Linked DNA regions of Stegostoma tigrinum. The protein of the gene in region 1 purifies or fractionates together with the protein of each later gene. This does not show direct contact. Links are inferred from orthologs where the notes say so. Each region holds a gene or a part of one and is shown in the gene's direction. Other genes may lie near its edges.

What was found. Proteins that work in one complex are often made in the same cells at the same time.
Region 2: the proteins of strn (region 1) and ppp2cb purify together in Homo sapiens (affinity purification with mass spectrometry; 5 studies listed by BioGRID and IntAct, counting the BioPlex papers as one, with this or other methods). This does not show direct contact. The link is inferred for Stegostoma tigrinum from reciprocal best matches to the Homo sapiens genes STRN and PPP2CB.
Region 3: the proteins of strn (region 1) and cct3 purify together in Homo sapiens (affinity purification with mass spectrometry; 3 studies listed by BioGRID and IntAct, with this or other methods). This does not show direct contact. The link is inferred for Stegostoma tigrinum from reciprocal best matches to the Homo sapiens genes STRN and CCT3.

What each region holds. Positions count from the first base shown.
Region 1 is NC_081357.1:94,950,823-94,958,659, reverse strand, and holds the start of strn (striatin), read left to right. Parts: upstream 1-4,833; 5' UTR 4,834-5,180; coding exon 5,181-5,417; intron 5,418-7,837. UniProt on the Homo sapiens protein: Calmodulin-binding scaffolding protein which is the center of the striatin-interacting phosphatase and kinase (STRIPAK) complexes.
Region 2 is NC_081354.1:12,436,502-12,443,811, reverse strand, and holds the start of ppp2cb (serine/threonine-protein phosphatase 2A catalytic subunit beta isoform), read left to right. Parts: upstream 1-4,289; 5' UTR 4,290-4,496; coding exon 4,497-4,598; intron 4,599-7,310.
Region 3 is NC_081400.1:3,835,904-3,842,880, reverse strand, and holds the start of cct3 (T-complex protein 1 subunit gamma), read left to right. Parts: upstream 1-3,956; 5' UTR 3,957-4,151; coding exon 4,152-4,179; intron 4,180-4,291; coding exon 4,292-4,353; intron 4,354-5,663; coding exon 5,664-5,714; intron 5,715-6,293; coding exon 6,294-6,356; intron 6,357-6,977. UniProt on the Homo sapiens protein: Component of the chaperonin-containing T-complex (TRiC), a molecular chaperone complex that assists the folding of actin, tubulin and other proteins upon ATP hydrolysis.

The sequences.
Region 1 (7,837 bases):
ATTGAGAAAAAACCTGTAAGTAGTGTTTCCAACAGTTTTATTTTTGCCCTATCTCATGTGTGATCCCTTTCCTTGTGTGATCAACACTGACTGTTTATTAACTATTTTACTGAATTTATGTTTGGAAAGTACTGTAAAGAAAAAATCACATTAAAATGATACATTTCAGGACAGCCATATTTGTTAGCAAGTTTTGAGAAGATTTGTAGCTCAGGTTGAGGTTCTGGATGTAAGTTTGCTTGCTGAGCTGGAAGGCTCGTTTTCAGACGTTTCGTCACCATTCTAGGTAACATCATCAGTGAGCCTCCGGTAAAGCGCTGGTGTTATGTCCCGCTTTCTATTTATCAGCGAGCAAACCCACATCCAGAGCCATATTTGTGTTCAGGACACCCCAAAGTGCTTTACAGCCACCAAAATTTTCTACAATGTGGATACCATTGTATTGCAGTGAATGTAGCAAGCAATCTCAATATACAACAAAGTTCCACCGACAGCAACTTCACAATCACTGGTTAATGTGTTTTTATAATTTTCGGTAAGGCAATATCATTGGCCTGGATATTGAGAACCTCCCTGCTCGTCTTCAACTGGTGGCTTGGGAAATTTTATGACCATCTGAGAGGTGAGACAAGGCATTGGTTTCATTTCTTTTAGTGTAACTATAGCAGTTCTGATAGCGCAGCACTCATTTTGTACTGGATTGGAAGTGTCATCCAAAACTACTTGCTCAAGTATCAAAAGGCGAACATGAAGTTTTGGCCTTCTGTCTCAGATGCTGGACTATTTTTCCTCCAATTTTCACCCTAGAATTTCTCATCTAATTTTGTTGTATTGCCTCTACATTTTCTGTATTTGGGTTGGTTTTATTTTAAATTATTATCCCAATAATTTTCTTTCTTCTCTTCATTTATCCACATTTTCTGCCTGTTGAGCAATGTCTGATCTGTATTGGAGTCATCTGCCTTTTGTACATTTCCTGGTGTACTTTACACCCTGCCCATTCTTCTACCAATTTATCTAGTTTAATTCCATTCTATTCTCATTAATATTGGCTTTTGCCTCAGTTAAACATTTTGATCGTTGGCCGCTCCTTCATCTGTCCAACTTTCAATTCAAGCTTGTATTTTCAATTGGCTCTTACCTACATGTATCCTTACCCTCATCTTACCAAATTGTTTCACTTCAACTTGTTAGTTTGTTTGTGTGTTTGTTTAATTACAACAAAAAGAGAAAATGTCGTAACTGCACACAGGAAATTTAGCATTTATGAATAACTAAGACTTGGCTGATACTGAGGCTAAATGACCTGCTGTGTATTTCTAACACTTTTTATTTTTAGCTTACATTTTCAGCTTTTACAATTTCCTTTCCTCTAGCAAAAATAAAGATAGAAAACATAAGAATATTCAACAATGTATAAACTTCAGGTCTATGATTGTTCATCAAAACAACTTATTCAATTTAACCTGCTACAAACTCAGTTTCACAAATTCTGAATTGTTAAAGAAAGAAAAAAGCTGCCTCTATGTAATATCGTCAGGACCACAGGAGCTCTCAAAATGCTTTAAAGCCAATAGTGGTATGCTATTCAAAAAGGGTGATAGGGATAAACTAGGAAACATCAGGCCAGCATGTGGAACTATTTGAAAACATTCTGAGGGACAGAATTAATCTCCACTCGGAGAGTCTAGGTTTGCCCATACAGCTTTGTCAAGGTAAGATAATGTGTAACAAATTTAATTACATTTTTTGAGGAATTGACTAGGTGTGTAGATGAGAGTAGTGCCATTGATATAGCCTACATAGACTTCAATAACTCTTTTGACAAGCTCTCGCATGGCAGACAAATTAAGAAGCTAAATATCCATGGGATCCGGGGCAATTTGACAAATTGGATCCAAAATTGGCTTAGTTGCTGGAAGCAATGTTTATAAGGCCAGTAAGTTCATAAATGACACAAAATGATATGGTAAATACCAAGGAGCAAAGCTTTAGTCTGCAGGTTAACATACACAGCTCATCAGATGAGCTGAACAGTGACAAAAAGAATTTAGTCCTGAAAAGTGAGATGATGCATTTTGAGACAAATAACAAGGTGACAGAGTACAGGTTTAACCCTCAGAAGTACAGAGCATCAGAGACACCATTAGAGTATCTGTACCTGGATCCTTGAAAGCAATAGGGCAGTAGATAAATATGGATAAGGCATATGGATTTTAGCCTTTGTTTTGAGGCATTATGTACAAGAGCGAGGAGGTCATGATGGAGGTGTGTAAAACATTAATTAGATCACAACTGGAGTGCTATGCGCAGATCTGTGTGCTGCATGAGAGGAACGATCTCATTGCACATGGTGCAGAGAAGATTCACTTGGACGTTGCCTGGGCTGGAGTGATTCAGCTATAAAGAGAGACTAGATAGGCTGAGGTTGTTTTAATTTGAGCAGAGAAGGCTAATGGGAGACATAGTAGAGGTGTTACAAAGTTATGAGGGGCATAGATAGGAAGAAACTTCTCCCATTGGTAGAGGGGCTAATAAACAAAGAACTTAGAAACAAGGTATAGGGCAGGAGGTTCAGAGGGGTTTGGAATTTATTTTCACATCTAGAGCAAACACCTAAAATAGTGGTATAGGAGGGAATTCTCGCAACTTTTGAGAAACATTTGGATGAGCAATTAAAATACTTCAATATAAAAGGCTATGGGCCAAGTGCTGAAAAATGGGATTGGATAGGTGTTTAAAATTTTTGAGAAGATTTGTTGCTTGGGTTTTAGTTCAGGTTGTAGACATGTTTGCCAAGCCAGTGGGTTTGGCTGCAGATGTTTCATCATCCTGCTAGGTAACATTGTCAGTCCATTTCTGGTTAAGCATTGATGTTCTGTTCCACTTGTTATTTATATGCCTCAGTTTGTTGGGTAGTTTGGTACCACTTCTGGTCTGTTTCTCATTGGTTTGTACATCGCATCTAATTCAGTGCATTTGTTATGGGAGTTCCCGTTAGAATACCAGGTCTCCAGGAATTCCCTGGCGCATCACTGTTTAGCTTGTGACATTATGGATGTGTTGTCCCTTGTTGTCAATGTGTAGTGAGACAAGTGAGAAATGGTTGTGTCTATTGGTGGCTAGTTGGTGTTTTTGTATCTGTATTGTCAGTTTTCTTCTGATTTGACCTGGGTTGTGTTTCTCACAGTCCTTGCATGGTATTTTGTATATTACACCAGTTTTGGGTATGGGATCCTTTATGTTTGTAAGTAGCTGTCATCGAGTGGTTGTTGGTTTGTGGACTACTTCGATACCTAGGGGTCTGAGTAATCTTGTGGTCATCTCTGAAACCTCATTGATGTGCAGTAGGGTGACTAGTGAGTCTGGTTGTGTTGTGTCTTCCTGTTGCAGTCTGTTGGTGGATTGTGCTTTTTGAGTATCCAATCCTTTTGAAGACTCTGTATAGATGCTCCTGTTCTGCTTTGTGTAGATCGGGGTTGCTGCAATGTGTTGTATGAAACAGTATCCTGACGCAGCTTTGTTTATGGGTGTTGATATAATTGAGTATCTGGTGCAAATGGGTGGTCTTTCTGTAAACGCAGGTCTGGAGTTCCCCTTTGTGTTTGCGTTCTACCTTTATGTCACTTTACCGATGATAGACAATAGACTTCTGAGATTAAATTGTTCTTTTATTGGCTAACCCAACATTTCACTTTTTGACTCTACACGTCTGGCGACTGACCCTCCATTGGATACAGAAAGATCCTGCCTTTCCCTCCGGAGGTACGAGGGCCTGAGAAAGGACGGCACAGATTTACAGACAATGGGAACTGCAGATGCTGGAAAATCCGAGATAACAAAGTGTGGAGCTGGATGAACACAGCAGGCCAAGCAACATCAGAGGACCACCTATCATGCTGCTTGGCATGTTGTGTTCACCCAGCTCCACACTTCGTTATCAGAGATAATGGGAACTGCACATGCTGGAGAATCCAAGATAACAAAGTGTTCCACAAAAATCACCATGAAGGGTCTAGGCCCGAAACGTCAGCTTTTGTGCTCCTGAGATGCTGCTTGGCCTGCTGTGTTCATCCAGCTCCACACTTTGTTATCGTGGGTTCTCCAGCATCCGCAACTCCCATTATCTCTCTCCACACTGTTATCCGGGCGCAGATTTGCTCATGCGCATTGCGGCTCAGAACCCGACGGCCTGCGCCGTTGCCAGTAGAGGACACGCCCACCATCGAGGACCAGAATGCACATGCGCGATAATAAAATGTGAGGCTGGATGAACACAGCAGGCCAAGCAGCATCTCAGGAGCACAAAAGCTGACGTCTGTCCCGGCACATGCGCGAAACTGGATATCCAGCGCAGGCGCAAAGCTGGTCGGCTTTAAATCAAAAAGCGCAGTTGTGCGGGGAGGTTGAGGCCCTGGGAGGCAGAAGAAGGGTTCGGACGGCGTGACGTCAGCAGCACTAGCGGCTCGCTTGAAGCTGTCGGCGCATGCGTAGATAGGGTCTATGGAGGGGTGGAAATTGATTAAGGATGGGGGCGGGTCCTCAATAGAGGTGGTAAAATCGGAAGTAGCTGGGAAAATTCAGTAGGGCTGGCATCATCTGTGAAGAGAAAGTAATTTTAATGTTTCGGGTCCGATTACCCTTCTTCAGAACTGAAGCCTTGACTCCACAGGTGCTGCCAGACCTGCAGAGTTTATCCAGCACTTTCTGATTTCCAGCACCGCACTGCTTTAGTTTTCCCTTTGGAGTGGAGTGGGGCTCTGAGGAGGACGGGCTAGAGGGATTCAGAATGGGGTCGAGAAAGTTGGGCGGGGTCTAGGGAGGTTGAGAAAAGGTCGAAGTTTGGTGCGGCGGACGCGCATGCGCCGGTAGCAGTGGGTGAGGCAGAGACAGCGGCCAACCGTCAGTGGGTTTGTTTGTGACAGCAGCGGCTTTATAACATCATCATCATCATCATCATCGTCATCAGCAGCAGCTCGATTCAGTCGAGGTCATGGAACGCGCAGAGCGGTTTAAATTTTAACGGCCGGCCCCGCGCGCGCGCGCCGCCGAGCGGCCAGAGGAAGTCCAGGGCCGGTGGACTGACCAAGTACCGGGGCGGCGTCACCGCCACCGCGGTCGTGGTCGTAGCCGCCGGCGTGGAGGCCGAGGGGACGGACGAAGGGTTTTGGGCCCCAGCCATGGACGAACACCCGGGAGCCGGGGTGTTCTTCGGCAATAACTCAGTGCTGAGCGGAGGAGGAGGCGGCCCGGGTATCGGGAGCAGGAACCTGCAGCCGGCGCAGCAACCGGGGCCCGAGGGGGAAGCTCAGAGGCCGCAGTACAACATTCCGGGGATCCTGCACTTCCTGCAGCACGAGTGGGCCCGCTTCGAAATAGAGAGGACGCAGTGGGAGGTGGACAGGGCCGAGTTGCAGGTAAATAACGCACCCCTCGGCCAGGCCGCGCTTCATGCTTGGATACTCGATTGCTGACCACCTCTCCCTGATCAACGGGGTAAGGGGGTGGTGGATACGTTAAGATGGCCGCCTGTCAAAGGAAGGAAGGAGGATAGTGTTGCTTTTTCTTCAAAGACCCTCAACTTTGCAGCTCTTCCCCAGTGACGATGACAGTTTAAATCAGAGGAGCTTTGCAACGACATTCCAAAAATGCCTTCAGTAATATTCTTAAACGGAATTGGGCAAGTTACTTGCAGGGGAAAGTTTGTAGGACCTTTGAAGAAAGAGCAAGTGGTCGGTATCGTTTTGAGTTCTTTCAAAGAGCCAGGACAGGCGCGATGGGTCGAGTAGACTTCTCGGTGCAGCCTGATTGTATGGAATGCTCCAGAAGAAATATGATCAGTTAATTGGCCAGGATTGTCAGTAGTTAAAGGGAGCAAACTTAAAATAGACAAGAGCACCAGAGGGACGAAGAATTTTTTTCTTGAGACAGCCATTTATGATCTAAATGCACCCTCTGAAAGGGGAGGAAGAACAGATTTAGTAGTAGTGGCAGTCAGATAAATACTGGGAGAATGGGGAGATTGCAGAGATATGGCTGAAGACCAGCGGAGTAGAAATAACTAGATAGTTTTGTCAAAGAATTGGAAGTGGAATGATCTGTGTGTTGGGACAACTGCACGGTTAAACAATCATGCACTTTTTGCTCCATCCACTAGCCTTTACCCTCACCAGTCCTGGTGATCCAGCCTGTATGAATTGATCGACATTAACTTGATTCAGCTAGACTGTTGGTTCGTTCTTGAGCAGTTCTGAAGGGCCTTGATTTAAATTGGTTGTACTGGAACAAGATTCAGTATTCTGAATTGAAGGGAGTCACCTTTGGCCTCATTAGAGATTTAAACATCCATGATTTAGCAATTTCTGCCCAGTGTTTTCTGTTGTTATCTATCAATGAATCATTGTAACCAAAGGTTACACAATGACATTCCAAAAGAAACACAGCTGTCCTGAATAGTATAATGTTCTTGGTATAGTCTAAAGGATTCCCCACAACGTAACAGGACAAAAATTGGAGTTTTTGATCATTATACATCAACCAGAGCACCACCTTTTAAAATTATAGTAATTTACACGCCTTGGTCAAGATCTGTGTGACATTCCTGAATTTGGTGTGTCTAATGGCATATCATCATGCCTAACATTATTGTTCAAGACTGCATTTCAACAACTTACATTGTGTCTTGAGTGTAACTTTTTTTAATGTTTAACAGTTGTTAGGAGAAATTGACAAAATTGCAGAAAGGCTTGACAGCATGTTGAAAAGAATTAGACAATGTCTTTTCTCCATTATTATAATAGAATAAACCCAAAGTTGAGATCGTTATGGGATGTGTACCTTGTGAGCTGTCTACCATTTACGTATTATCAAGGAGTAACCATGGGATACTGTTCATGCAGCTGGTTCCATTAATATTTCTGTTGCATTGTTTTAGGAATCTGCAGGATATGAAACACTCCCAGCTTTTTTATTTATACAAATAATGTAAAACCAAAAGGGAAGCTGAGACTTCAGTGTACCCTCTTATACTTGAAATATAATTTACTAAGCTGAATGTTCTGTGGCCGTGGCACTTCAGCATTCATAACCTTTAGCCTACGAAATCTGAATTCTTGAATTATCTATCAACTCAGTATGTGGAAGTATTTCTTCTGAAAGCTACCACTTTCAGTACCTTTAACATATCCCCACTGCTTTCCTGTTGCTGATTTCCCCCTTGAGTTTCTCTGACTTGTTATTGAAGCTAAGATTTTTTAAACAATTACCTATTGAAATGTCGGTAAAGTGCTTACTACAGCAACTAAAGCTACATGAACTTATATAGAACCTTTTAAACATTTTAAGGTGATTTGCAGGAGCAAATACCCTCATGGGGATATTGGGGTAGATGGCAACAAGCTTGGTTAAAGAAGGAGCATCTTAATGGAGGAGAGAGAGGTACTGTACTTTAGGGAAGGAATTCCAGAGGTTTAGGACCTCTGAGATATACCATGGGCCACAGTTTTGAATTACTGCACATTTTTAAATAGGGTAAAAAGTGGAGCTAGGATTGTAATATGTTGGCAAAATATAGAAGTAACATGAAGGTTTCAACAGAACGTGAGTTCAATTAGGCGATGCTAGAGTTGGAAATAAACAATTGTATTGATGGTATGGCTATGTAATTGGAATCTCATCTTGGTTAAAATGACAGGTTTACGTGTTCCCTGGTTCAGACTCTGGCAGCTGTGGGGGAAAAGAATGGAGTTTTTGGTGGGAGCAGAAACACCATGCTGCTTCCAATAAATTATAAATTTCAATCTTATGGTAACTTTTTACAAGGTGCTAATGAGACCCT
Region 2 (7,310 bases), on another chromosome or scaffold:
GACATGATAGGTGTGCAAAGGGATGTCACAGGGTACAGGAGGATGTGACGGGTGAGATTGTCAAGGAGATCAAGGGTTATGGGGAGAATGGGTTGAGAAACTTATCAGCCATGATGGAATGATGGAGCAAACTCGATAGGCTAAATGGCATAACTTCTACTCCAATGTCGTATAGTCTAAAAGGGGTGTCACAGGGTACAGATGGACATAGTGAATGGAGCAAAGGGTGTCAACAGTCTAAGGGTACAAGATAAGCCTTTTAGAACTGAGATTAAATGGCTTTACTACCACACAAAGCAGTTGAGGCCAAAACATCAACTGTTTTCACAGAGGAGTTAGATGCAATTGACAGGGATAAAGGGACCAAAGAGTATGGGGAGAAAGCGTGAACAGAGCATTCAGTTAGACATTCAGCTATCAGAGATAATGGGAACTGCAGATGCTGGAGAATCCAAGATAACAAAGTGTGGAGCTGGATGAACACAGCAGGCCAAGCAGCATCTTAGGAGCACAAAAGCTGACGTTTCGGGCCTAGACCCTTCATCAGAAAAGGGGGAGGGGGAGAGGGTTCTGAAATAAATAGGGAGAGAGGGGGAGGTGGATCAAAGATGGATAGAGGAGAAGATAGGTGGAGAGGAGACAGACAAGTTGAAGGGGCGGGGATGGACCATTTACAGGTGAGTGCAGGTGGGGAGGTAGGGAGGGGATAGGCCAGCCCAGGAGGATTGATAGGTCAAGGGGGCGGATGATGGAGGTGCGGCTTGAGGTGGGAGGAGGGGATAGGTGAGAGGAAGAACAGGTTAGGGAGGTGGGGATGAGCTGGACTGGTTTTGGGATACAGTAGGGGGAGGAGAGATTTTGAAACTTGTGCTATCCACATTGATACCATTGGGCTGCAGGGTTCCCAAGCGGAATATGAGTTGCTGTTCCTGCAACCTTTGGGTGGCATCATTGTGGCACTGCAGGAGGCCCAGGATGGACATGTTGTCTAAGGAATGGGAGGTGGAGTTGAAATGGTTCGCGACTGGGAGGTGCAGTTGTTTATTGCGAACCGAGCGTAGGTGTTCTGCAAAGCGGTCCCCAAACCTCTGCTTGGTTTCCCCGATGTAGAGGAAGCCATAACGGGTACAGTGGATGCAGTATACCACATTAGCAGATATGTAAGTGAACATCTGCTTGATGTGGAAAGCCATCTTGGGGCCTGGGATGTGGTTGAGGGAGAAGGTGTGGGGGCAGGTGTAGCACTTTCTGCCTTTGCAGCGAATGTGCTGGGTGTGGAGGGGTGGGAGGGGAGTGTGGAAGGGCCAAGGGAGTCAAAGAGAGAGTGGTCCCTCTGGAAAGCAGACAAGGGTGGGGATGGAAAAATGTCTTTGGAGGTGGGGTCAGATTGCAGATGGTGGAAGTGTTGGAGGATGATGTGTTGGATCAGGAGGCTGGTGGGGTGGTATGCGAGGATGAAGGGGATTTTATTTTGGCGTTATTGCGGGGGCAGGGTGTGAGGGATGAGCTGCAGGAAATGTGGGAGACACGTTCGAGGGTGTTCTCAACCATTGTGGGGGATAAGTTGTGGTCCTTCAAGAACAAGGACATCTGAGATGTACGGGAGGGGAATGCCTCATCCTGGGACCAGATGCAGCAGAGGCGAAGGAATTGGGAATAGGGGATGGAATTTTTGCAGGAAAGTGGGTGGGAGGAGGTGTATTCTAGGTAGCTGTGGGAGTCGGTGGGCTTGAAATGGGTATCAGTTTCTCGGTAGTTGCTGGAGATGGAGACAGACAGGTCCAGGAAGGCGAGGGATGTGTTGGAGATGGTCCAGGGGAACTTGAGGTTGGGATGGAAGGTGCTGGTGAAGTGGATGAACTGTTTCAGTTCCTCATGGGAGCACGAGGCGGCCCAGTACAGTCATCAATGCAATGGAGGAAGAGGTGGGGTTTGGGGCCAGTGTAGGTGCAGAAGAGGGATTGTTCCACATAACCTCCAAAGAGGCAGGCACAGCTTGTGCCCATATGGGTACCCATGGCCACTGCTTTTGCCTGTAGGAAGTGGGAGGGATCAACAGAGAAGTTGTTGAGGGTGAAGCGGATGAGGGTTTCGGTGGAGAGGGACTGGCTGAGCCTGTGGGACAGGAAGAAGCGGAGGGCCTTTAGGCCATCTGCATGGGGAATGCAGGTGTATAAGGACTGGGCGTCCATGGTGAAAATGAGGTGTTGGGGAACAGAGAATTGGAAGTTCTGGTGGAGGTGGAGGGCGTGGGTGGTGTCACGGACGTAGGTAGGGAGTTCCTGGGCCAAGGAGCAGAAAATGGAGTCCACTTAAGTGGAGGTGAGTTTGGTGCGGCAGGTACAGGCGGAGACAATAGGTCGACCAGGGCAGGCGGGTTTGTGGAATTTGCGAAGGAGACGGAAGCGAGCGGTGTGGGGTTGGGGTACAATGAGTTGGAGGCTATGTATAGGAGGTCACCTGAGGTGATGAGGTTGTGGATGGTTTGGGAGATGACGATTTGGTGCTCAGGGGTGGGGTCATGATCCAGGGAGCGGTAGGAGGAGGTGTCAGAGAGCTGGCATCTGGCCTCAACTTGTCTATCTCCTCTCCACCTATTTTCTCCTTTATCCATCTTCGATCCACCTCCCCACTCCCTATTTATTTCAGAACCCTCTCCCCCTCCCCCTTTTCTGATGAAGTGTCTACGCCCGAAATGTCAGCCTTTGTGCTCCTAGGATGCTGTGTTCATCCAGCCCCACACTTTGTTATCTTAGACATCCAGCTATGCCTACAATGAATGGCTGACTCCGTGTTTCCGTACATCACGTGGCATCGAAGGGGAAATCGTGCTTGACTAATCTTCTGGAATTTTTTGAGGATGTATCTATGAAGATGGACAAGGGAGAACCAGTGGATGTAGTGTACCTGGACTTTCAGAAAGCCTTTGATAAAATCCCACATAGGAGATTGGTGAACAAAATTAGGGCACATGGTATTGGGGGCAAAATACTGAGTTGGATTGAAAATTGGATGGCTGACAGGAAGCAAAGAGTAGTGATAAACGGGTCCCTTTTGGAATGGCAGGCAGTGACCAGTGGGGTACCACAAGGTTCGGTACTGGGACCGCAGCTGTTTACGACATATATTAATGATATAGACGAAGGCATTAAAAGTAATATTAGCAAATTTGCTGATGACACAAAACTGGGTGGCAATGTGAAATGTGAGGAGGATGTTATTAGAATACAGGGTGACTTGGACAGACTAGGTGAGTGGACGGATGCATGGCAGATGCAGTTTAATGTGGATAAATGTGTGGTTATCCACTTTGGTGGCAAGAACAGGAAGGCAGATTACTATCTCAATGGAGTCAAGTTAGGTAAAGGGGAAGCACAACGAGATCTGGGTGTTCTTGTACATCAGTCAGCGAAAGCAAGCATGCAGGTACAGCAGGCAGTGAAGAAAGCTAATGGCATGCTGGCCTTCATAACAAGAGGAATTGAGTATAGGAGCAAAGAGGTCCTTCTGCAGCTGTACAGGGCCCTGGTGAGACCGCACCTGGAGTATTGTGTGCAGTTTTGGTCTCCAAGTTTAAGGATATTCTTGCTATTGAGGGAGTGCAGTGTAGGTTCACGAGGTCAATTCCCAGAATGGCGGGACTATTGTATGTTGCAAGATTGGAGCGACTGGGCTTGTACACACTTGAGTTTAGAAGGATGAGGGGGGATCTGATTGAGACATATAAGGTTATTAAGGGATTGGACACTGTGGAGGCAGGAAGCATGTTTCCGCTGATGGGTGAGTCCAGAACGAGAGGACACAGTTTAAAAATAAGGGGTAGGCCATTTAGAACTGAGTTGAGGAAAAACTTCTTCACTCAGAGCGTGGTGGATATATGGAATGCTGTGCCCAGAAGGCAGTGGAGGCCAACTCTCTGGACACTTTCAAGAAGGAGATGGATAGAGCTCTTAAAGATAGTGGAATCAAGGGTTACTGGGATAAGGCAGGACCAGGATACTGATTGTGGATGATCGGCCATAATCATAATGAATGGTGGTGCTGGCTCGATAGGGCCGAATGGCCTACTACAGCACCTATTGTCTATTGTCTGTCTGCAAGGGGCCGAACGTGCCACACCACGTGGTACATAAGGGGCGTGACAAATAAAGGCAACTGTCTTCGCTCGCGCACCCATTCAAACGGGCTTCCAACCGCCGCCCGACCTCGCGGGCGCGCTTCGCCTCCTCAGTCACGCGCCGCGGGAACGTGAATTACGTCGGTGCGTGCGTGCGCGCGCGATTTTGCGGACACGCGCGCCGCTTTTTCTCCCTCTCACTCTCACAGTGACGGACGGCGCCGAGCTTCTCAGGGGTTCCGAACCCATGTAACTTATTTATGATCAAAATTTTAACCTCCCGATTCCCCCTCCCACCCAAGACTTTTTATTTAAATTTTCCTTTTCACCTCAACACCCTGTCTGATAATTTTTAAAAAAAAAACCGTTCCCGATAGTTATGGATAATAAGGCGTTCACCAAGGAGCTGGACGATTGGATCGAGCAGCTGAACGAGTGCAAGCAACTCAACGAGAACCAAGTGCGGACCCTCTGCGAGAAGGTATGTGGGGAGCGCCAAGGCCAACAGTTTTATTCTCGATGCGATTTCAGACAGAATCCCCGCCTGGGTTTAAGCGACAGAGTCGGCCTTTCCGCCGCTGCCAAATAGTGAGACCAGTGGCTCGGCCGCTCTCCCCGGCTCGGCTCGGCTCCGCCCCACCCGCCTGACCGGGCGGAACTTCCGGTCCGGTGCCACTTCCGCTCAGGGGGCGGGTCCAAGGTGGAGCTTTATATGCCCTCAAAGCCCTCTTCATCGCCTCTTTCCCCCCCCCAACTCTCTCTTCATCCATATCCGCCCCTCCCTCCTTTCATCCCAGTCCCCGGACTTACTTGCCCCATTCCAGCTCCACCCCATCCTCCTCCTTTTTCATGTGTTCCAGCTGCCCTGACTCTTCTTGCAGGAAGTTGTAGACTTTGACATGTGATTGAATCTTACAGCCTGGATAAAGCCCCTTCAGCTCGATGTGCCCGCACTGTTTGCCAAGCATCTCCAGCACCTTTCCTGTCGTCTTGTATACATACCATGGCGTTTTAAACGCTCATCATTTACCTGATACAGAGGCATTGACTTAGTAGGAGCGCTTCAGTAGGTTTGGGCCTGTACTGGTTGGAATTTAGAAAAATGGGAGGCAATAGTTTTGAAGCATAAAAGATTCTTGGAAGACTTGACAGAGTAGATGTCGAAAGGTTGTTTCCCCTTGTGGTAGGGTTAAAGGGATTGATCTTAAAAGAAATCGTCACACATTTAAAGTGGGTTGAGGAGGAATTTCTTCTATGCAGTTAAGTAAGAATCTTGGCATTCTTTACCACAAAGACCTATTGAGACTGAGTTAGGTTTATTCAATGCTGAGACAGATTTTTAATTTATGAGTAAAAGGTGGGAAAGTGGAGACAATGATTCACATAAACCTGATCTGATTGAATGGAGGCGGAGACATGATGGTTTGAATATGTTTCTTCTGCTTTGTCATGAGGTCGGTTAGCTCAGTTGGCAGACTGGATTGTGGCAAAGTGTGACATCAGTGCTACGTCCAATTTTCATGTCACCTGAGGTTATGATGGACTCTCGTTCTCAGTCTCTTTGCTTGTCTGAGGCATGATGGCCTCTAATAAGGTGCTCTACTAAGACTGTGTAATGTCAAGAGTTCTCTACCACTCTTGTGACTTTTTCATCCCCCTTCTCCCAATACAAGTGCAACAGGCCTTGAATTTATGAATATTCTATCAAATGCAGTCAAAAAAGGTGTAATTTTTAAAGATCTGACAGATGTAGGAATCTTTCCTGTACTTATGAGTGGCTAGTTTTATATTTCCTGCATTGCGTTCTGACATGCATACAAATCAAACTGAGTGGACTCCACGTGGAACTTTTTTGCAACTGGGGTCTGCCTGTATTTAGACACAGTCTCAGTATGCCTCAATCTCTTTATTATTCCACACAGCAGCATCTCTTGCTTCTTTGCCACACTGTCGCAGCCTCTCCCATGGTCAGTTTTAACCATGCCATAAAGTATTTTGCTGTAAAATGACAGCAGACATAAAGCAGGACTAGGCCATTCAGCCCTTCATCCTGCTTTGGCATGCAAAAAGTCTTTCTTCATTCTATCTCCCTGCCTGCACTGTGAAACTGTTAACTCCCTTGTTTATCGAAAATCTAACTTAATCTTGAATAATTTCACTCCACTCTTTGAAGAGAATTTACAGACTAACAACCCATCACTTTAGACTGATACCTACATAGAACATAGAACCTAACAGCACAGCACAGTACAGGCCCTTTGGCCCTCGATGTTGTGCCGACCTGTCATACCGATCTGAAGCCCATCTAACCTACACTATTCCATGAACGTCCATATGCTTGTCCAATGATGACTTAAATGTACTTAAAGTTGGCAAATCTGCTACCATTGCAGGCAAGGTGTTCCATTCCCTTACCACTCTGAGTAAAGAAACTATTTCTGACATCTGTCCTATATCTTTCACACCTCAATTTAAAGCTATGCCCCCTCGTGCTCGCCGTCACTATCCTAGGAAAAAGGCTCTCCCTATCCACCCTATCTAACCCTCTGATTATTTTATATGTTTCAATTAAGTCACCTCTCAACCTTCTTCTCTCTAACGAAAAAAGCCTCCAGTCCCTCAGCTTTTCCTCATAAGACCTTCCCACCATACCAGGCAACATCCTAGTAAATCTCCTCTGCACCCTTTCCAAAGCTTCCACGTCCTTTTTATAATGCGGTGACCAGAACTGTACGCAATACTCCAAGTGTGGCCACACCAGAGTTTTGTACAGCTGCAGCATGACCGCTTGGTTCTGGAACTCGATCCCTCTATGAATAAAAACTAAAACACTGTATGCCTTCTTAACAGCCCTGTCAACCTGGGTGGCAACTTTCAAGGATCTGTGTACATGGACACCGAGATCTCTCTGCTCATCTACACTACCAAGAATCTTACCATTAGCCCAGTACTTTGCCCTCCAGTTACTCCTACCAAAGTGCATCACCTCACACTTGTCTGCATTAAACTCCATTTGCCACCTCTCAGCCCAGCTCTGCAGCTTATCTATGTCTCTCAGCAACCTACAGCATCCTTCGTCACTATTACCTTAATTAGATTAAATCATAATTTGCTGTTTCAGTCACGGTTTTAAAAACAAAAGGGTCCCAAGAACAGTTTTGCTCATGAGGAAAACATTAGAATGTCTCTCAAT
Region 3 (6,977 bases), on another chromosome or scaffold:
TGTGCTCCTGAGATGCTGCTTGGCCTGCTGTGTTCATCCAGCCTCACATTTTATTATCTTGGAATCTCCAGCATCTGCAGTTCCCATTATCTCTGATACTATGGAAATTCAGCATGTTTGCAATAACTCTTACCAATTTTGATAGGTGCACCATAGAAGAAATTCCATCTGGATACATAACAGCTTGGTATGGCAACCGCTCTACCCAAAACAACGCAAAATGACAGAAACAAAGTTGCTGGAAAAGCTCAGCAGGTCTGGCAGCATCAGTGAAGGAGGAAACAGGGTTAACATTTTGAGTCCAATGATTCTTCCTCAGAACTGATGGTGGCTGGAAAAACGTCAGTTTATAGGCAAAAAGTAGGGAGGGAGGTGGGTGGGGTGGGGAGTAAATGATAGAACAGAGCCCAAAGAGAGAGAAAGACAGTTGGACAGACAAAGGAGTTGCTAATGATCAGGTGGGAAGGTGAATAGTTGTTAATGGGGACTCTTAATGACTAACAACAGGGGGTGTGTAATGGCAGGCTATGTAGTAACAAGGGTTGGTGTGTGGTAGGAAGCTGGAACATGGGAGAGTTTAGGTCCTAAAATTATTAAACTCAATATTTGGTCTGGAGGGCTGTAGGGTCCCCAAGCAGAAAATGTGGTGTTGTTCCTCCAGCTTGTGTTGGGCTTCACTGGAACACTGCAGCAAGCCAGAGACATAGATATTGGCCAGGGAGCAGGATGGTGCATTGAAGTGGCAGGCAACAGGTAGTTCAGGGTCTTTTTTGCGAGCAGAATGTAGGTGTTCGGTGAAGCGGTCACCAAGTTTACACTTCATTTCCCCAATGTAGAAGAGCCCACATTGTGAGCAGCGTATGCAGTAGACTAGACTCTGGGAAGTGCGGGTGGGAAGGTATGTTTGGGCTCTTGGATACTGGAGAAAGAGGTGGTAAATCGGCAGTTGTTGCACCTTTGTCGGTTACAGGGGAAGGCACTGTAGGGCTGTGGGAAGGTGTCGGGGGTGAAGAAAATGTGGACCAGGGTGTCCCGGAGGGAACGGTCCCTGCGGAAGGCGGACAAGGGAGGGGAGGGGAGGGGAATATGTGCCTGGAGGTAGCATCTTGCTGGAGTTCGGGGAAATGGCATCTGATGATCTACTGATGTGGATGCTGGTGGGATGGTAGGTGAGGATAAGGGGAACCCTATCGCTGTTGCGATAGAATTTGTGAATGCAGTCCAATCCATCCCAAAAACCAGCCTTCCTTCCACTGACTCCGTATACGTTTCCCTCCGCTTTGGGAAACCAGCCAACATAATCAAATACCCCTCCTAACCCAGTTTTACTCTCTTCCACCCTCTTCCATCAGGCAAAAGATACAAAATTTAAGAATAGCTTCTTCCCCACCATCATCAGACTCATAAACGAACCTCTCATATATTAGAGTTGATCTTTCTGTGGATCTTTTCTGCAGCTGTTACACTATATTTTGCATTCTGTTCTCTAACCCTGATATACTAATATAATGTATGATTTGTCTGGTTAGCATGCAAAGCAATACTTAGATTCTGAGGAAGGGTCACTGGACCTAAAACATTATCTCTGTTTTTTCCTTCACAGATGCTGCCAGATCAGCTGAGTTTTTCCAGCAACTTTGTTAATTGCTCCACTTTTCACTGTATCTTGGTACATGTGACAATAGTAAAGTCAAATCAAAAGTTTGCTGACTGAGGAGGGGACAGTTGAGGAGGTTGGTCTTATACCCATCGCGCTGTGATCTTATCTGGAACATACAATTTTCTGCGGTAACACAGTGTGGGACTGGAGCAGCACAGCAGTCCAGGCAGCTTCAGAGGAGCAGAAATGTTGATGTTCTGGGTCAGGGCTCTTCTTCAGAGAAATTTTCTGGGGTTCTTGATAGGATAAACGTGGAAAAGTAGTTTGTCGTCATGGGACGGTCTAGGATCAGAGGGTATAAAAAGGGGTTGCACAGAGATGGGGAGGAATAGCTTCCTTTAGGCAGGAGTGAACCTGTCAAATTCTTTACCACAGAAGGCCGTGGATCGATAAGAATATTCAATATTGAGATGGACGGATTTTTAATCTGTAAGGGAATCAAGTGTTATGGGGAAAAGGTAGGAAAATGGCGTTGAACATGACCAACTCAGCCACAGAGTCATCCATCATCCAAACACACCCTTGGGTCCAACACGGTGTCCCCTGCCCCTAAGCTCCGCCCTTTCCAGTCTGGGTCAGGGCTCTTCTTCAGAGAAATTTTCTGGGGTCCTTGATAGGATAAATGTGGAAAAGTTGTTTGTCGTAGAGGGTATAAAAAGGGATTGCACAGAGATGGGGAGGACCCCACCGACTCCCACAGCTACCTAGAATACACCTCCTCCCACCCACCCTCCTGCAAAAATTCCATCCCCTATTCCCAATTCCTCCGCCTCCGCTGCATCTGCTCCCACAATAAGACATTCCACTCCCGCACATCCCAGATGTCCAACTTCTTCAAGGACCGCAACTTTCCCCCCAACAGTGATCGAGAACACCCTTGACCACATCTCCCGTATTTCCCGCAACACATCCCTCACACCCCGCCCCAACCACAACCACCCAAAGAGGATCCCCCTCGTTCTCACACACCACCCCACCAACCTCCGGATACAACGCATCATTCTCCGACACTTCCACCATCTACAAACCAATCCCACCACCCAAGACATTTTTCCATCCCCACCCCTGCCTGCTTTCCGGAGAGACCACTCTCTCCGTGACTCCCTTGTTCGCTCCACACCGCCCTCCAACCCCATCACACCCGGCACCTTCCCCTGCAACCGCAGGAAATGCTACACTTGCCACCACACTTCCTCCCTCACCCCTATCCCAGGCCCCAAGATGACTTTCCATATTAAGCAGAGGTTCACCTGCACATCTGCCAATGTGGTATACTGTATCCATTGTACCCGGTGTGGCTTCCTCTACATTGGGGAAACCAAGCAGAGGCTTGGGGACCGCTTTGCAGAACATCTCCGCTCGGTTCGCAACAAACAACTGCACCTCCCAGTCGCAATCCATTTCCACACCCTCTCCCATTCTTTAGATGACATGTCCATCATGGGCCTCCTGCACTGCCACAATGATGCCACCCGAAGGTTGCAGGAACAGCAACTCATATTCCGCCTGGGAACCCTGCAGCCCAATGATATCAATGTGGACTTCACCAGTTTCAAAATCTCCCCTTCCCCCACCGCATCCCAAAACCAGTCCAACCTGTCTCTGCCTCCCTAACCGGTTCTTCCTCTCACCCATCCCTTCCTCCCACCCCAAACCGCACCCCCCGCTACCCACTAACCTCATCCCACCTCCTTGACCTGTCCGTCTTCCCTAGACTGACCTATCCCCTCCCCACCCCCCCATACTCTCTCCACCTATCTTCTTTTCTCTCCATCTTCGGTCCGCCTCCCCCTATTTATTCCAGTTCCCTCCCCCCATCCCCCTAATCCCCCCCTATCCCCCCATCCCCCCCTATCCCCCCCTATCCCCCCATCCCCCCCTATCCCCCCCTATCCCCCCATCCCCCCATCCCCCCCTATCCCCCCATCCCCCCATCCCCCCCTATCCCCCCATCCCCCCATCCCCCCCTCTGATGAAGGGTCCAGGCCCGAAACGTCATCTTTTGTGCTCCTGAGATGCTGCCTGGCCTGCTGTGTTCATCCAGCCTCACATTTTATTACCCAGCCCCAAAGGCGTTCCCTGCATAATCCCCGCCCACTGAGACGCATGCGCTCATCCCCTCCGCCCACCAACGTGGCTCCACCTCTTACACCGCTCTCGTCCCTGCCAGTCAGCCCATCCGTCACCCACCATTGGCCTACCTCCTGGATCTATTCCCGCCCCTTCCCCTTCTCTCCCGCAAGCGGTTCCAACCGTCCCGCACGAGGAGCCGGGTGCAGTCAAACTCACCCAACAGCCTCGGACGGAACGGAAGCCCCGCCTTTTCTTTCCTGCGATTGGAGGGTCGCGGCGATACCGGGGTGGTGATTGGCTAAGGGTGACCGTCAATCCTGCGTGTCGGCTAGCGGGACGGAGCAGCAGGTTTGGTTGCGGGGCCTATCGTGAGGCAGCAGAAGGTTCCAGAAAAAGAGACAGAAAGAAAGATTGAAAAATGTTGGGACGGCAAGTGTTGGTTTTAAGTGAGTGGCTCAAATCAGATCGTGATTATTCATTTGGTGCCTTTATGAATTTCTGTTAATAAACTCCGTTATTGCCATCCGTTTTAATTAAAAAAAATCTCCTCTTCCCCAGGTCAGAATGTGAAACGGGAGTCCGGCCGTAAAGTCCAACAGGGCAATATTAACGCAGCGAAGGTGAGGAGGAGGCCTGGAGCTCGGGCACACGGACTACTCGAGCGCCGAGGCTGCAGCCCGGGCCTAGGCCTCTCCTCCACCGGGTGAACGGTGGTGGGAGAGTCGGGCGGAACACGGCAGCTAGGAGCCTTTTACTGGGGTCTCGATGTGTTTGACGAGGCTCAGGACCTTTTATTGGGTCCGTATGGGGCTTAGGACCCTTTTATTGGCTCTTGATGGGGCTCAGGTGCAACTTCTTTGGGTCTGAAAGGGCTTAGGACCCTGTTATTGGCTCTTGATGGAGCTCATAGGCCTTTTTATTTGGTCCAAATGGAAATCTGGAGTATTTTATTGGGGCCCCAGAACCTATTATTGGCGGTTTCTTAGGGATCATGGTCCCTTTGTATTGTATCTCAATAGGATCTCAGGATTTCTCTGGATTTAAATGGGGCTCTGGGGGTTTTATTATTGATCTATCGGGATCTGCAGTCCATAGAACATAACAGCACAGTACAGGCCCTTCGGCCCTCTGTGCCGACCTGTCATACCAAATTGAAGCCCATCTAACCCACACTATTCCATGTACGTCCATTTTATTCTTGATCCAAATTGTGCTCTGGATTGTTTTGAGTTTAGCTGGTTGCTTGGGATGATTTCCTTGTGAGACTCAATGGGGGTGGGGAGGGTCAGGATTTTTTTTTCTGGGCCTCTGTGGTGGTCAAGGCCATTTGTGGAGTTGCCATGGGACTTGAGATCTTTTGTGCGGCCCAAAAAAAAGGGCCTTGGGACACTGGTGTCAGCATATAGCCCTAAATTGTGAGCTGGAGGGATGTTCTCGATTACATCAGAGATAAAGGGTCTAGGCCTGAAACATCAGCTTTTCTGCCTGCTGTGTTCATCCAGTTCTACACTGTGTTCTCAATTGCTTTGGTTTTCATCCCCCTGCCTTTAAGTAGACAGGTCAGTGACATCCAGAAAGCACCAAGTCAGCCTGAAATAGCAAGAACTGCAGGAACTGGTGTCAAAGAAAGCAGTGTGGAGCTGGAGGAATACAGCAGGCCAGGCGGCATCAGAGGAGCAGAAAAGTTGACGTTTCGGGTAGGGACCTTTCTTTAGAACATGAGAAAGGGTACTGACCCGAAATGTCAACTTTCCTACTGATCTGCTGTCTGGCCTGTTGTGTCCCTCCGGCTCCGCAGAGTGTTATCACCAAGTCAGCCTGAGGTTGTTTTCCTAGTAAAACCCAAGTAAAGGATCTCCAAAAATATTGCTCAGTACTAGTCAACAGCCCTGTTATTGGCACCTGATGTTTTTATGGTTATATTTTTCAGACAATTGCGGACGTTATTCGAACATGTTTGGGACCAAGGGCAATGATGAAGGTACAGAAATTAACGTTGGCGTGTTAGACTGGTGTTTTGCAGCAACCTACCAAGATGACACCATGTTGGGTTAATTATAAATGGACTGGGTGGGACTTGGAGTCGTGTGTGAAGCGATTGATATTGACTGATGTTATGCAAATATGCTGACAGCCACAGCTGCAGCTCCAGTCTTTAAAGAGTAATGGGATAATTTAAGTTGAAGGGGGAAGATTTAGAATCATATGGCATGGAAACAGATCCTTTGGTCCAGCTAGTCCACGCCTACCATGTTCCCTAACTGAACTAGGCCCACCGGCCTCCGCTTTGCCCATATCCCTCTAAACTTTTCCTGTTCACGAACTTAAACAAATGTCTTTTAAATGTAACTGTGCCCCCACACGCTACTTTCTTTGGCAGTTTATTCCACACATGAACCACTCTGCTTAAAATAAAGTTGCCTCACATGTCCTTTAATAAATTTTTCTCCTCCTCGCTTTAAAAATATCCCCCCAGACCTGCATTTGAAGTTAAACAGCAGGAGCTCATTAGTGTAGTATTGAAATTAATGTGATGTAATTTACCCCCCACCCCCAACAGATGTTGCTGGATCCCATGGGTGGCATTGTCATGACGAACGACGGGAATGCCATTTTGCGAGAGGTAGGTGTGGTTTCACCTGTACGAGCATTAGGAATCTGTTCGAGTGTGCGGCTTCTCATTCTCCTTCACTCAAAATACCTTGACATAAGTGTGTTTGGCATAAGTGACAGCTTTGTAGTTACTAAGATTATATCTCTATTTCGCTGATTTGTTTAATTTGAACTTCTGGCTTTGGAGCCATGGCATGCTGAGTCAAGATCTGTTTGTATCATCAACTCGTGCCATGCAGATGTAGGAGAGCATTGATTTAAAACTGTCGACCTGTCTGTGAAACTCCCATTAGATGAACCTATGTAATCTAGTTCAGATTTGTGAAGAGGTTTTAATAGACGTGATTAATCGGTCCTACTGGTGGTCTGGTGATCTGAGATCATTTTCAGTAAAGTCAAGATAGTCTGGAGAATGTTTTGACGCACCTAGTTACTGCGATTTGGAACTGTCTGAAAGGGTATTAGAAACACCTTTCAATAGAAAGTTCCAACAGGGAGAATCAAATAAATACTTGAAAAGAATCGCAGTGTTGTTGGGGAGGATGTAGGACAAGTTGGATAGAATTTTCAGTGAGTTGGCACAGGCACGGTGGACTGAATGGCCTTGTGTGCCATGATGGTAGTGAAGTGC